Yarrowia lipolytica: one gene and its partner. The main gene of each other region encodes a partner of the protein of the gene in region 2 in a complex. Links are inferred from orthologs where the notes say so. Each region holds a gene or a part of one and is shown on either strand. Other genes may lie near its edges.

The links. The genes of interacting proteins can lie anywhere in the genome.
Region 1: YALI1_E24343g (region 2) and YALI1_D15952g share a complex: the UniProt entries of both Saccharomyces cerevisiae proteins name them as parts of the mitochondrial large ribosomal subunit. The link is inferred for Yarrowia lipolytica from reciprocal best matches to the Saccharomyces cerevisiae genes YML6 and MRPL1.

The regions. Positions count from the first base shown.
Region 1 is NC_090773.1:1,592,798-1,597,479, reverse strand, and holds YALI1_D15952g (mitochondrial 54S ribosomal protein uL1m), read left to right. Parts: upstream 1-2,186; coding exon 2,187-3,071; downstream 3,072-4,682. Other genes in the region: YALI1_D15974g (uncharacterized protein), read right to left, coding at 1-12; YALI1_D15965g (uncharacterized protein), read right to left, coding at 493-888; YALI1_D15963g (mitochondrial 54S ribosomal protein bL34m), read left to right, coding at 1,163-1,558; YALI1_D15937g (uncharacterized protein), read left to right, coding at 3,740-4,682. UniProt on the Saccharomyces cerevisiae protein: Component of the mitochondrial ribosome (mitoribosome), a dedicated translation machinery responsible for the synthesis of mitochondrial genome-encoded proteins, including at least some of the essential transmembrane subunits of the mitochondrial respiratory chain.
Region 2 is NC_090774.1:2,431,880-2,436,458, reverse strand, and holds YALI1_E24343g (mitochondrial 54S ribosomal protein uL4m), read left to right. Parts: upstream 1-2,157; coding exon 2,158-2,973; downstream 2,974-4,579. Other genes in the region: YALI1_E24360g (uncharacterized protein), read left to right, coding at 450-1,466; YALI1_E24318g (uncharacterized protein), read right to left, coding at 3,177-4,579. UniProt on the Saccharomyces cerevisiae protein: Component of the mitochondrial ribosome (mitoribosome), a dedicated translation machinery responsible for the synthesis of mitochondrial genome-encoded proteins, including at least some of the essential transmembrane subunits of the mitochondrial respiratory chain.

The DNA of each region.
Region 1 (4,682 bases), on a different chromosome or scaffold from region 2:
TTCGACCACCATGCTGTAGGGAATGGGTTGTCGAGTGTGAAACGAGTTGGTGAAATGTGAAAGGAGATTTTTTAGATAGAAGTTAGATCTGCATGATGGGCGATAGACAAGGATGGAGACGGGAAGAAGTGGGGAGAAAGGGCTGATCCCCAGGACGTTTGAGATTGCAAATTCGCCCCATTTATTCTATGTGAACAGGGGCAACATAATACACTCCCCTACCGAAACTGTAGCTATCAAAATATCAACGGGATTGACATCTGGCCAGTTGATCCGACAGCCTGGGAATGCCCTACACCAGATCCGATATGCCAAACCCGTAACGACCCACTCTCCAGCTACACTACACACCTCTCTAAGTAAACATGTTGATTCTATAGTTAATGTACATTAATAATGCTACCCTGTGTCGACACAGGGGGGTGGGTGGGGGGAGAGGGTGAGTAGACAGTAAAGGTGTGGTAGAGCCAAAGCGGCGGACGACAGCATCTCTTAAGCCTCTTCCTGGTCTTGGTCCTGGTCCTCATTGGTCTCCTCAGACTCTTCAGAGTCGTCGGAATCCTCAGACTCCTCCTGGTTATCGTTATCTCCTCCGTCGGTGGTTGTGTTGGAATCCCCCTTGTCCTTGTTCTCCACCTCCTTCTCTTCAGCCTCCAACGGAGGCAAGCCCCGCAGGTCTCGCTGGACCCGTCGCAGCTGCTGGATCATGGCGTGGTTTCGCGACACGACCGACGGCATGCTGTCGCTGGACATGGACAGCAGCTGGTCTGTGCTCTCGGTGGTGGCATCGATGTACTGTGTGATGATCTCCTCGGCCTCGCCGTTGGGGATCGCCTTGGACGAATGCACTTCTATGGCCGTGGGGCCGGGCGCTTTGTAGGACGACATGCTGGTGGTTGTGGTGGGGGCGGCGCGGTTAGTACGTCGGGATCAAGCCAACGGGATTTTTTTTTTTGCAACAGCGTGATCCACAAGTGCGCAGTGAAGGCAAATAAAATTGAGCTTGCAGCTGAATGGGGAAATTCGGGTTAGGGTATAATGTGGGAGTCGGGACAATATGTGAAAAAGTGCCTACAAATATATTAATAGCAGAGAACGGCACAACACTCCAGACAAGTAACCCGTCGGTACTGTACCATATCAACAAGCCCCCAACCCAGCCATGCTCAGAATCATCACCAGAGCCGCTGCAACCAAGGTGGTCCGACCCGCACCCCTCATGGCCCGAAACATGGCCACGCTCGGAGGCAACGTGAACCCTCTGACCGCTATCAAACAGCGATCCGCCACCATGATCCAGCCCAACTCCGTGCCGTCGTGCATTCCCGCGGCCTCAGGGGTCGCCTCCGCGCTCGCCCAGGGCTCTACCGCCACTCTGCCCTTCCTCACGCCCTTTTCCGGCGCCTCCCAGCGACGATACGTGCGAGGTATCGACTACCAGCCCTCGGTCCGAAAGCGAAAGCGATCTCTTGGCTTTCTGGCCCGATCGCGATCTCGAACCGGCCGAAAGATTATCAAGCGACGGACTCTCAAGGGTCGGTGGTTCCTGACCCACTAGAAGGACACCACAACTAATGTATATAGCAAAGAGGATTATTGGTATGAGACAATGAAGATGGCAGTAGCTATGGTATCAGTTGTAGTCGTACAAGTACTTGTAATATAGTACGATGGATTCTTGACCAAGAATGAATCCATCAGGCAAGTTGGCCTTGTACTCGTACGATGACCAATGAATGTCTGCTAAGAAGAATGTGCCACGGGATTGGGGCAAAAGAAACGAAACAAACGGGTGGAATAACTTCAAATGTACCCTCCGAAACCAGTCGCCTCTTCCTCAAAGTATCAGATCATCTTTTATGTATCAGATCATCTTTTTTCACCGCTTTCATCCATCCACTCATAAGGTGTATGTAGGGGATCCAAAAGTGATCCTTTTGGGCAAAAAGGAAGTGGGTGAGCTGAGACTGGAGAAACCGGAAGGAGTGGAGCAAAAGATGAAAATCCCACGTCTTAAGCCAGCTTTTCCTCACTCAATCTAGCCGCTTCAACCCCACCAACACCCCACAAATTGACTCCACTGGTCGCTCCTGTAAACTGTAGAGAAACTCCCAAAGTCGAGATGAAATTTCACAGCTTAATTTTTCACCACATCACATCACACTACATCCAACCACCACCAAAAAATGCTCAGACTCACACACGCGGCCAAGCTGACGGCCGGTGGCGTTGCCCAGAGCGTGCGGCCGCTGTCGACCTCGGCTGTGGCGCTCGGCAAGAAGAAGAAGGACACCTCCGGAGCCGTCAACCAGCCCAGTTACAAGGAGCTGGTGATCCGACGAGAAAAGGAACGACTGCGAGAGATCACCCAGCGAAAGGAGCGGGCCAAGTTTGCCCAGCAGATGCGAAAGGCCCGAGACCGTCTGTCGCACCCGCTGCTCATGGACTTCCCCCTGGCTCTGCGGTACATTCGGGCCATGGAGGTGGGCTGGCCCTCGTCCTCCACATCGATAGTGGTGTCGTGGTCTATTGTGGCCAAGAAGGGAACCAACGGCATCACGGGCACCGTGCGACTGCCCAAGGCCATCGGCAGCGACACCATCTGTGTCATCACCTCCAACGAGGCCCAGGCCCAGGCTGCTAAGGAGGCCGGAGCTTCTCTGGTGGGCGGACAAGAGCTCATTGATGACCTGCTGTCGGGCAAACAGCCCCTCGACTTCAACAAGTGCTATGCCACACCCGAAATCATTGGCAAAATGGGCCGACTCGGCCGAGTGCTGGGTCCTAAGGGAATGATGCCCTCCGCCAAAAAGGGCACTGTGGGCAACGATGTCGCCGAGATCATCGCCTCCACCTCCGGAGTCATGCCCTTCCGAGAGTCTGCCGGCTGTCTCTCCATCAAGGTCGGAGACGCTTCCTTTACCGACACAGAGATTGTGGAAAACATTGCTGCGGCGTCTCGAGCAGTCCGAGAACAGATTGCAAAGACCCGAGACACCGCCAAGCCCTCGTCTCTGGCCCGAACCACTCTGCGGTCCTTCCACTCTCCCGCCATTACCATTGATGCGTAATTTGTATATATGATAGATTGGATAACAACTTTTGTTGTCTTGTGTTGTCTTGTGTCTGCCAGCTTGTAGGGCAGTTTTAGTTAGGTTCAGTAGTAGAGATTAGTTGGAAAGCAAAGTGCACTGGGGGTGTAAAATACCGTTTCCAGACATGCTGGTGTAGAAACGAGTACATCAGCAGATAGAGCGCACTCGGTATCCAACTAATGTGCGAAGACAATACATGTTTGTCATACAACATTTCGAGATATATTCATTTCGAAATTTCAAGTTAACTACTTTTACTTGACAGTTACTTTGCAACTATACTTTCCAATCCACAAGAGCAAAAGTGCAGTGTAGTTAAGGCCTATTTTGTTAGATTTTGTTGACTAACAAGTCAGCTGGGGGTCCTTTATTTGTGCCCCAGAAAAGATAACGACTAGGAACAAATCCCATTATATACAGAAATCCACTTTTACCAACAAATACAAATGATAAATACACATTGCTCACGCAATGTTTGGAGATATCGAAGCTCCAACGACACCGTCCAACTAATATTACTTAGCCTTCTACTTCAAACTCTACTTAGCCCCAGCTCCAGCACGGTACGATAATAAACTCACATCGTCAAGTGCATACGCATACACGTACACCATCATCAGCGTGTCACTACCAAGTACACAATCATGGTTCTCATCCCCAAGGAACCCAAGGAGCACGTGGAGCGTCGCGCCAACATTCTGGTGGCGTACATTCTCACCTTTGTGCTTCTCGGCATGCCTTTATGGCTCTACACCACCTCAGTCGAGCGAAGTCCTCTCCCCCACGATGAGATGGCCTACTACGACAGCACCGTCACGTCGGAGCTGCACATCAAGGTGCCTGTGGTCTTCTCGGGCATTGATTCTGATACGGCCAAGGATATTGAGGCCGAGTTGGCCCAGCAACTGGCGTCCCAGAACATCTACGGCTGGGGTATCATTCCGTCCACCGAAGGCGTCCAGATCCACATTGCCGAAGCAGACACGCCCACCTACACAGTCGACACCCAGGGCCAGGATATCAAGATCACGTCACCCAAGAACGATCTCGTCAAGGCCACCGTGGCATCTATCCTGTCTGTCTACAAACCCGAGATTCAGGACTTTCTGCGGCTCGTGGGTCGAAACAAGTCCAAGGACGATCTTGCCGTCATCTACTCGCCCCAGTACTACATCACGTTCTCGCTGTTCCACGGCGGAGGCGTTCCTGTATCCTGGGACATTCAGCCGGCTCTGAAGGAGTATTTCGACCCTCTACTCAATGAACTGCAACATGTGGCCACCTTCAACGTTGACACCCAGGTAGAACACCACGCGGAGCTGTCCCGAAAACCCGAAGAGATTGTGGACAACCAGTACGTGCTGACCCCCGGTGACCTCTCCACCTTCATCAACTCCGCTTCCTGGGGCCTCTCTTCTGTGCACAAAGACCCCACCCTGCACTTCATCCTCTACGTGCCCGACATTGAGGATCTGCCCATGCACATCCAGGGCTCCGAGTCGGACTCATTTGTGGTGCCCCAGTGGGGAGGCGTCAAGCTCATCAACGGCCAGACCCATTTCACCAAGGAGCAGCTCAAGCCCATTC
Region 2 (4,579 bases):
AAGAAGCCGTATAGTTATTGGCTAATGCACAGTGTGCCCGACAGCAACACCAGATTACTTTTTCTCATCACATCCATTTGACTTGCTACAGCTCAACTGCTAAGACCATGTGCAGGACATGCACCGAAGGGGACCCTTTAAGGGGAGCCCGAACCCTGGGTTGCCCGGTTGGGAATGGACTGTGATCCAAGTGGACGCCAAAACGACAGGTCCTGATAGCGTGGACGGCTGTGTGGAGCTAGCTCCGGCCTCTAGGCGAGCATAGAAATGGCTGTTATCTGTGGCTCTTGCGCCAACCACAGTCCCATAGTCTTATCGAGCTCGAAACCCTGAAGCCCCGACCCCGAAACCCACACAGTTTCACATTTACACCTAAATTCGGACACCCCTTCTCCCTCCCCCCATATTACACTCACACTCTCTTCCTTCGCCCCACACGATATGGAATAATGGACGAAGCGTTTCATTTGCAGCCCCACACCCACGTCTCGTCCAAAAAGGTGGTCGACGTGGGTGGCATCCGCACCATGGTCTACGGCCTCGAAGAGCTGCCCAAACGGTGCAAGGCCGTCGGAGTGCTTTACCTGGCCCATCCCAGGCTGCAGAACTACATGTACACCGAATATCTGGCCCACGAACTGCTCTCTCGGTGTCGCGAGGCAGCTGTGGACCGGTCGCCCGAGGCCGACCAGCGAGACCTGCCTGCCACCAACACCGGGATCGAGGCTCTCAAGGCATCCCGACCGCATGTGACAAGAACCGATTCACACACCTCGCGACGGCACTCGTACACGCCCTGGACAAACTACATTGCCGTGACGTTCGATCTGCGAAACCACGGCTCGCGAACTCTCACGGCCCAACGGTCTCTTGATTGGGAGGCAGGAAACGACACCCATGCCGTGGATATGATGTCCATCATCGACGGCTCCACAGACGACCTGCTGCTGGTCATGCAGTACCTGCCAGCAGTGCTGGACGCACAGCTCCGCAACGTGGCACCCAAATGGTACAACATTGTGTCTGGAGTGTCACTGGGAGGCCACATTGCCTGGCGATCTGTGGCCCGCAACAAGGACCAGGACATTTTTGCCATTGCACCAATAATCGGATCGCCCAGCATGCGCACGCTATTCGAGGACCGGCTGGACCAGCACCGGCAAAAGACAGGCTCCCTCAAAAACACCAACCCTCAGTGCCAATACCTGATTCCCGAGCCATTAAAGGACATCATTGCCCGTGACGACGCACGGGTATTTGACATGTCTACAGACACACATGTCTTCATTGCCACCGGTGAGGACGATGCGTTGGTCAAGGACTCATACTCGCATGAGTGGATCGAGCATTTCAAAAAGAATGGCGGTAGCCCCGAGTACGTGTGCCAGGAGGGCGTGGGCCACGTTTGCACAAACTACATGGTGACGCGCTTAGCAGAGTGGATTGTGCGGATTACCAGCGGGTGAGTGACAGTTGGTGCGTGTTGAACAACGCGTAGTGGGAGAGGTGATTCTGGCTATTCGCATTTTTTTCTTTTTCGTCCCCGCAATCGACCAATAACTAATACTAGCAAACCTGGTAGCAAGGTCTAGGTCCGCATAATCGAATATTCAGGGTGCACATCGAGGGGAAGACACAAAAACAACGACGACATTACGATTGAGGCGAACATTGGAAAAATGGTGGGTTCTCTAATCCACAGAACGAGTAATATATCATTGCATGTGCTATACCTTTTAGGTGACCTGGTGTACCGTAGCATGTGTATGACTGTGTACTATATTGATACTACAGTAGGCATGAGTTGTATTTTATCGGGTGAAATCTTTAAAAACTATAGTTCAGGTTGTACTTTGTTCTTTGGTCGGCCTTTGTATATAAATACTTAGAACTGTACGTACTATAACAACAGGACGGTACCCGTATGAAGGGGTACAAGATAAAAGAGTAAGATATGGATGCCGAAAGTTCTAGTCGCTCGAAATAAATCTCCTAATCCATTTTTTTACTCGCGCTGCTTTGATGGTTATAAATCACTATATTTATTTATCCCAGCACCACTGCTCCTCCCGCTCTGCTCACGTGACTCCAGGGTAAAATGTGCACCTGGTGAAAATTCAAAAATCTGCAGCACCATAACCCGAGACGAAACACAACATGATCCGGCGACTAATTCCAGGACTGACCTCCGGGCTACGACGGGGCTTTGCCTCCGAGGCCTCCGGAGCTGCCAAGCAGGCCACCGTCGACACACTGCCCGGCGCAGCAAAGTTGCCCGAGTTCGTTCTCACCTCGGTGCGACAGTTTCCCTCTCTTGAGCCCACACGTCTACAGCCTGTCACCTCGCAAATGCTGGGTGCTCAGGTCCACAAGGATCTGCTGTGGAGAGCCGTGGTCTACGAGGCTGATCGACAGCGAGTAGGAGCCTCCAATCCCCCTGGTCGAGAGCAGATGGGCTACTCTACCCGAAAGCTTCACAAGCAGAAGGGAATGGGTAAGGCCCGAGTCGGTGATGCTGGTTCACCCACACGAACACAGGGAGGTTTCGCGCTCGACAGAAATGCCCCCAACAAGATGGCCACCGGACTGCCCAAGCAGGTGTACGCCTCGGCCATCCGAGCTGCCCTTACGTCACAGTACCAGGAGGGTCGACTTTTTGTAGTTGACGGCCCCTGTGAGCTGCCAGAGTCCGTCAAGGACAACACAACCTTTGGACAACAGTGGCTGCAGGGCGAGCTTGGCTTTGGTAAGAAGGAGATGACCGTTTTCCTGGTTGACACCGAGCGACCCATTCTGGACTCTGTGCTCGGAAAGGACAACCTCAAGGCCGACATTGTGCCCAAGGAGTTCATTGAGGTGCGAGACATTCTCAAGGCCCGAAATGTGGTTGTTGAGTACGACGTGCTCAAGTGGCTGGCCGCCAAGTATCCCACCCGGGATCTCTTCGGCTCCTTCAAGCCCTGGACTAATTAGTGTATATAGTATAAGCATTTTGCTGTTTGATGGCGGCGTGGTAGTCGAGGTGGTGGTTGTTGTGTGGGATACGGTACGAGTACATACTGTACCGGTACAGATGTGTAAGTACGTGCTCGACGATTGTTTTGTACGCTAGTGATATGCTGCTGGCTGGTTGCTGGTTGTCTTGCAAGAAATGAATTAATTCGATATATAAATAACTAGTGTCTGTATCGGAAATAGGGAGACCTGTCGCCCATTTCAGACAGCTCGGCACTGGTAAGATGCTCACATTCGCCCGACTCAATCTTGGCCTGCTTCCTCTTGTTGACAACGTGGTAGCCAAAGTTGAGCACAATGAGAGACACGATTCCAATGCAAACAAACATGATCTCCATACCGTGACCCAGCTTGAACTCGGGCTTGTCTTCGGCTCGGTAAATGTTGGACGCAATGGCCCCAGAGAGGTTTCCAATGCCAATCTGGATGGCCATAGCTACAGCTCGTTTGTATGTACCTGCGACGTTGTTGGACATCCACGAGACAATAGCGGGCAGAGCTGGGTACAGTCCTAGTGCGATGAAGTAGCAGCCCACGTAGACTGCAGTTGGTTTTTTGTGAGACAGGTTGAAGGCCAACAAGTAGCCAAACAGCATGAATAGCAGGTTGACGAGAATGAAGGGAGATCTCTTACCATATCTGTCCGAGAACCAAGCTTGAGTCACCGAAGCTATAGCAGCAATCACGTAGATAGGGATAGTCATGAGCTGAGCTGTGGAGGAGGTGTATCCCAGGTTGTTGACAATGGTGGGAAGGAAGAGGGAGATGCCGTAGAGAGGAACCACAACTCCGAAGTAGAGAAGCAGGTGGACGTAGACCTGGATATCGGTGAAGGCGGCCCAGACGTACTTCCAGTCACGAGAGTCGTTCTGCGCTACCAGTTCACCCCCGGCACTATTGTCGTTGCCATCATACTTGAGTCTCCACACGACAAACTCCCGCTCTTCTTCGGTGAGGAATCGAGCTGTTTCAGGGAAGTCATGGACGAAGAAGAAGGCGATGAAGGCGACCACAACCGTAGCAATTCCCTCGAGAATAAAGATCCATTGCCATCCGTGAAGTCCAGCCACGCCCTTCATTTTTCCAATACCGAAAGCCAGCAGACCAGAAAAGGCACCGGCAATGGAGGCTGCGGAGAAGAACATTGCCTGTCTAAACTGGATCTCTGATCGGCAATACCACAGAGTGAGGTAGTAGCCGACACCAGGATAAAGACCAGCTTCAGTCACTCCGAGAAAAATTCGACAGATCAGAAGCCCATGGTAGTTCTTGACAAGCCCCATCAAAGTCATGACGATGCCCCAGGCAACCATAATGAGAGGAAGCCAGATGGAGGGTCTGAGCTTCTTGAGAATCATGTTGGATGGCACCTCAAAAGCTGAGTATGTAAAGAAAAAGACAGTGAGACACATGTTGTATTGAGGGCCAGTGAGACCGAGATCAACAGACAGACCTTCGATATTGGCGTTACCAACATTACCTCGATCCAGGAAGGACAGCAAATACAACAGAGATAGAATAGGGATGATATTCATATCCATTTTTTTAAGCAGCTTCTTCTTGT